Xenopus tropicalis: one gene and its partner. The protein of the gene in region 2 interacts with the protein of the main gene of each other region in a biochemical or structural test. Links are inferred from orthologs where the notes say so. Each region holds a gene or a part of one and is shown on either strand. Other genes may lie near its edges.

Region 1 (3,659 bases), on a different chromosome or scaffold from region 2:
CTGCTGGGCATATAGTCAGTGGAGTAGGAGATGGCTCTTCTTGTATTGTTGTGTCCTGCCTCCTAGTGGTACCAGCTATACTGCACTGTTCCTGTGTCCCCCAAGCAGACAATGGAGAAATAGGCAATTTCAACAGCTGTTCAGAATTTAGAAAGAACATGCAATAAAAAGAGTACTAATATAGTAATATGAGAGCTTAACTAATAATACTGTTCATTGCCAATTGAGACCTAGGTTATTTGTGCTTATGAATACAACGGACTCAACAAAATTAATTTTGTCTTGAAGCTGACCTTGAGTAACTCATCCTCTCCTGCATCAGGAAACTTTTCATGCAGCGTGTCTTTCAGAACCTTGGCTATATAACGCATGCCATAGCTGTGGGGAAATAGATAGTACAGTTAGCAGGACACATAGGAGAGGATGGGCAGGTGGGGAGAAAAGTGAACTAGATTAGGTAACTCACGGTATTTTGTCCACAGAGCTAATGATGGCCACAAGAAATTTGTCTGTCACAGTTCGCATGTTTTTCACAGATGCATCAAGTCTAGACCTCACCTCCTCATGAGACATTGCCTGCTCAGGTGTCACATCATACGGCAACTTACTAAAAGACAAAGAGACAAAAAAATCGACTTTACGGCACTAGTTATGCATCAAGATCCACATTTACATTTGAGGCAGATAAAGATAACAGTAAGTGCAAATGGAGTATGTGTGTATGTATATGTATATATGTATATACAGTGAGGCTTGGGTACACAGCACTGAACTTTTATATAATACAGTTAGCATAATACAAAGGAGTAAGTTTTGGAAAATGTAGCTTAAATAGGCATATAGCTAAATCACTGTGCTACTGTAAATACAGAGAGCCAAAGGGGAAGCCAATATCAGAAAATGTTTGTCTGAGCTGCATGTCTATGTATGCCTAAGCTAAAAGCACAACCCATTTAAGTGAATGTCTGATTTACAATTCATATAGTATACAATTCTAGTTCAGCCTGTGAACTTAGAAATTAGAGTTGTGTAGATATGGAAGACAAGAATAATAGGATATTTCAAGATGCTGAATTGTACTGTAGCCTTAGAAAAAGCTCACCTCGCCTCTCCAGTCTGAGATTCCATCTGGTTGACCCAGGCCTTGTATATATCAACTGGATCAGTTTTGATGTTCAGAGACTTGTCATCCATAATCTCTTTCACCACAGGGGAGAGTATCTGTCTTAGCGCATTTTGCCCACGGGCACCACGATTAAAACTCACCACCATCTTTATAACGGTGGGGTTTCCTGTTACAATCTCCTGAATCTGATCAACTTTAGATCTACAGAGACCAATGAAAACAGCCAGCATTATGTCACAAGGCAATGAATTCTTGCAATGACACAGAAAATGTTACAGGATTATAACACATTTAAGTGCAGTGCTATCTGATTTTGTATAGTCACAGAGAACCATATCTTAGCATATGCAGGAAACAGCCAGAAAATAGAGTTAGAGGGAACATACTCTAAACAGCTACCCTGGACACACACATGGCAAAGTATGGAACAGTACAATAACTCTACACATACACACGCCAACACCAAACAAATAATGGACACACAGAATTCCACAGGGATTCCCATTGACTGCAAGTTTTTACAAATGTGTACTTTCTAGTACGTTGTGCTGCCATTACATACAGCTTGAATTTATGGTTCATACAGAGCCAATACTTTAAAATGAACTTTTGATACTGTAGTTTTAGCAGGATCATTGAAACCAGCAGCTTCCATGAGACATGCATGCAGCATATTGTGTTTATTGTAAACCATATTGTATCTTCATTTTACTTCTAAATGCATTTCCCCAAGTAGACTGAATATATTTTCACAAATAGAAACTCGTACTTAATCTCCTCTTGAAGGGCTGTCTTAAAGAGACGAAGCAGCAGGTATTCCTCCCTTTGGTTGGATGCATAATTATAAAGGGTAAAAATGACAGAGTCCATAAACTTGGTGGATTTATTCTGAGGCATCTGGAAAATAAGCTTGGCCAAGTAGGTAGGGTTTGTCTGTAATGAAAGAAAATAATATGTAAGGTATATTACTGTCCTCTTGCAATGCTCAATTATTCCCCTCTGTCTGCCAAATCCAATGCATATCTTTTAAACTATACCAGAATGTGGCTTCAAATAGTACCAGCAGTTTTGTTAATCATTTCTGGGGTAATCATTTAAATAGAATGGCAGTGCCCTGAATGGTCAGCACAAAATCACCCATCTATGCAAATATCTCTACTAAAGTTCTTAGTCCCTGTCTCAATAACATAGAATAACTTCACATTGGCACCCATAGGCCTGTTGGAATTATTTTAACAGTTTCATATACATGTATTGTGTGGGATGCCCCACAAACATGTATCTGCAAGGGAAGAAAAAAGGGCTAAGAGAGCAGCAAACCTGCATAAACAGCAACACATTCTCTATTCCAGAAACACTTAAGCGGATAACTAGAATTCATCTGCAAAATATTGTCCATTAGCTCTTTCAAACCTAGCAGAAGCATTTAAACATTACAAGAAATTATACTTAGCCTTAATTATCTCTGCTAGATGCCTATTCCACTAATCCAGAATAAAGGATAATGGTGGCACATCATCTTCTTTCCTGTAAATGAATTTCACCCCACAAACTAAATATGGCAATTTAAGCCTAACCTCCAAAGTGAACTCAAATGCTCAATCAAAAGGAGCTGCATTTGTTCTCATTTGGAGCCACAGTTACCTGCAGCAAATAGAAGAGATGCTGGTAAGCTTCTAATTTTTCCCTTTTCTCTTTGCTCAGGGCCTTCAGACCTCCCCTTTGCTTGTTTAACATCATCATATCTGCAAGTTGCTCCTTGTTCTTCTTTGTTAATTTTTTACTATGGGAGACAACATCCTGAAAAAAAGGTATAAGAACTTAATAAGACAAAAAATTTAAGCAAACACAGTAGTGATGCCAACAACATTTCGGTTTTAATTCAATTATCTTGATTCAGTTAAAAAAAAAAAAAAAAAATGATCAGTGTTTATTGAAGCCTCTACAGTCTACAGTTTGTCTCAAAAGGCAAAAAAATTCCCCACACACGCTGGCATGGGGGGAGGGTGCAGGGGCGAGGTGGCCAACTAGGTTATCTAAGGTGCCCGATCGGCTTGGCCCACCCCTGTGCATAAACATACATTTATCACTGAATGTTCTCTGCCATGTAGCTATGCAGTCCACAATATTGGACATATTATATATTAATACATCGGTCATACAGGGCTTAATAAAAGCTTCCAACTCTGCCCCTCCCTTCTGAGTCGGCAATTGGCCCAAGTACTGAAACTGCCCAATCAATATTTGGCCAAAAATCAGTCAGGCATCTAGAGAAAAGGATTGAGAGTCCCACTGGGCAAGGACCGCATAGGCACACTGATTCAATCCTCTCCTAACAGGTTTTTGTAGGCCCAAATGATAATTGCTGGCTTAGGTCTGATGTCCTTGCCAAAAGAAGCAGATCTTTAATCTATGGCCAGCTTCAGGCATTGTCAGAATTGCTCAAGAACATGCATAAGTGGTATACCTGCAATGTAATTTTATTTTTCACAAGAAGACCAATTTTAATGTCCATAAGATTAAGATCATTTTC
Region 2 (2,886 bases):
AATTTTTTACCTCCTGCTATACAGTACACTTATGGTATTAATGTGATTATATGTGGTTGTGAATGATGGTAGGCTGGCCGGCCATTTCTTAAACTGATTTTAATGCGATGGTATATCAATACTAAATAAATTTGTGAAATAAATGAGTGCCTGTGAAGGTGGCCAAACACATGCCAAATGAGCAGATCTGCCCCAATATGTCCAGCTAAGGATCATAGAGCTAATCAAGTCGTTTGGCCCTAGGCCCAAATGATCACAATACAATGATGGAAATACAAACCATCAGAGGGGTGATGCAGTCCTCAATCCAACAGGAAAATCAAACCTGCCTGATTGACATTTGGCCAATTTTCAGACAGATATTGGTAAGGGGAGGCCTGTCGGAGGGACCTATACATGGACATATAAGCTTCTGATTTGGTCTGAAGGATACAAATGGTCGGCTTTAATCTACCTGTGTATATAGTACAAATGCTAGCTATTTAAACAGATTTTTTAAATATTTTCTAAGAATCTGCAATAAATCTAAAATGATAATTGTAGCTGCCCAAGACAACAACAAAACAACTTTCACAGTGAAACCAGTCACACAGGCACGGTGCTACAGAAGGAAAAATAAAACCCAGGCGCATATTCTGTGGTTTAAGAATTTATTAATTCAAACATGCATGTAAAACACTAAATTGCATTAGCAAAAAGATCAATGTAAAAACACTGTCCACGAGTTCTCGTAACAATTGCAAATTCTCTTGTTTGTTCAAGTGACAGAAAGTTGTCTCAGTTTTGTACTTGCTAGTGTTCAGCAGTGCGCAGCCATATTAACAGGCGCTCACACACCTAAGGACAGGATTAATAAAAGCATTAAAGGTTTCACAAAAAGTGAAAAGAAAGTTAAAACGCGTTACATCATGGTCTGTCAGTACAGAGATACGTCTGGAGTGAGTTAACCACTTCTGTGCCTTCTCCCCTGCTTTTGTGGCACACCGCCGGTGACATGGATGAGTAAATGCACGCACATTGCTACCCGGTGACACATGATTTTTACACCTAGTGTTAATAGAAGGAAGAAGGCCATTGCTCGCACACCGGCAAGGAAAGGAACATGGATAAACAGTATTAGGTTTAATTTGTCAGTTTACAAAATTGCAAATTACAATAATCAGAAAGATAATAAAATACAAGTTATCAAATCTACAAAGAAGCCACCATGAAGAGCTTGTACATCTTAGGATATGTGGGAATCAAAGTTGCAAAACCGTATGACAATACAGTTACTTGCCACAAAGGTACACACGAACAGTGTCAACCATTGGCCTAGGCGCCAGCCCCATACCCCTGGATTTAGCATCTCTGCAGTAACTGCCCAGGACAGGGAAAGGCAAATCTTGGCATTCTGGCTGCAGCAGAAACTCTTACGTATTTACTGTCAGGGATGTGGTTATTCTGCAGCAGCTGGAAGGCACACAGACTGCCTATCCTACATCATGATCTATGGCACACAGGCCATTACTGTAATCAGCAGCGCCCAAAACACCCTCATTCTGCCTGTTACTGCTTCCCATTGAGAAATAAGGAAACTGCAAGGCCTAAAGCAGTGACACGCAGACCTAAGCACAGTCTAAGCAGATGTCACCCCTACATGTGCTTTAGACAGCATACATCCCATAGATCCCTATGGACAGCAGTGACAGGCGATAGGACCAATGCGGTTTTCAGCCAAATTACAGAGGCAGTCACGCCCCGTGTCCATTAGCCTAAAGCTGGATGGCTTTATCGAAGATGGTTTGGTCACCCCCAGCAACAAAACGGTGCAAACAAATGCCCTATGAGTAAAGGAAAACCAAACGACAACAGAACTCAAATACTTACCTATAGCAACCCTTCTTACTGCAGTCATGAGATTCTACAGCTGATGCTTCGTCGCTGTCATGTTTAAATACTGTCACTTATTTCCACTAGTAAACCCCAAAACCTATGGTTACATTTCCATCGTAATACAAATTGTAGCCAGAAGAGCAGATTAGTACCCTTAAACCGACTATGACATTTCCCCCCACGCAGTAAGAGGATACACTGTGTTCTAAACATCTCTAAAGGAGCCGTTGGTTGATTTACAGTGTGATACAGTGAATGAAAGGATAAGAAAGGATTTAATATAAGCAGTAAAGCACCATACTGCTTCATATCTAAAAGGTACATTTTTCCCAAAAAAAAACCCGTTCCTTTGTGGATGGCTCATGTTATACGCATTAATGAGTTGGTTAAACATTTGGCAACAATTGATTAGTTACAGCAAAAAAAGATCATTTACTGTGAATAAGGCCTAGAGGACTGAGCTGCTATTCAGGATTTAAATGGGCTCAGGAAAAATGTTTGTCACTAATAGGAACGAGGGTGAAAATAAGAATTGGAGAAATTCAAAGATTATATTTATAGGCAATAAATGAATTATCACAAATAGGGTCGGGAATTGGCATTTGAGTCAATGATCCCATCAGAGCCTGCAGACTCAGCTGGGATAGAAGATGGCATGTGGGAGTTATTACAACAGCAGGCATTTTCTCTTTCGCTTCTTGACTGGAGGTGGGCACAGCACTGCTCGGATTGCTTCGTCAAACACAGTCTTCAACCCTCGCTGCGTAAGGGCAGAGCATTCCAAGTATTTTACAGCACCTGCAGAAAGAGAGATTGGGGGAAGAGTTAAAGGAAGGGACTGTGCAAGCTGGCTAGGGGCTACAGTATGTTTGAAATACTGCACTTGTATAGAAAAACTTGGGACTTGGGGTTTAGTTCCCCTTTAAATACTGCTATGCATGGATGAAATTCTCAGGCAGATGCTACTCTAAAAAGATACCAATACCAGCCCTTTTGTAAGAGAAGGAAATG

The links.
Region 1: the proteins of rac1 (region 2) and iqgap1 form a complex in vitro, tested with the Homo sapiens proteins (3 studies listed by BioGRID). The link is inferred for Xenopus tropicalis from reciprocal best matches to the Homo sapiens genes RAC1 and IQGAP1.

The regions. Positions count from the first base shown.
Region 1 is NC_030679.2:106,860,187-106,863,845, forward strand, and holds part of iqgap1 (ras GTPase-activating-like protein IQGAP1), read right to left. Parts: coding exon 3,594-3,659; intron 2,927-3,593; coding exon 2,771-2,926; intron 2,060-2,770; coding exon 1,896-2,059; intron 1,328-1,895; coding exon 1,103-1,327; intron 608-1,102; coding exon 467-607; intron 379-466; coding exon 294-378; intron 1-293. UniProt on the Homo sapiens protein: Plays a crucial role in regulating the dynamics and assembly of the actin cytoskeleton.
Region 2 is NC_030685.2:25,471,252-25,474,137, reverse strand, and holds the end of rac1 (ras-related C3 botulinum toxin substrate 1), read right to left. Parts: intron 2,674-2,886; coding exon 2,543-2,673; 3' UTR 642-2,542; downstream 1-641. UniProt on the Homo sapiens protein: Plasma membrane-associated small GTPase which cycles between active GTP-bound and inactive GDP-bound states.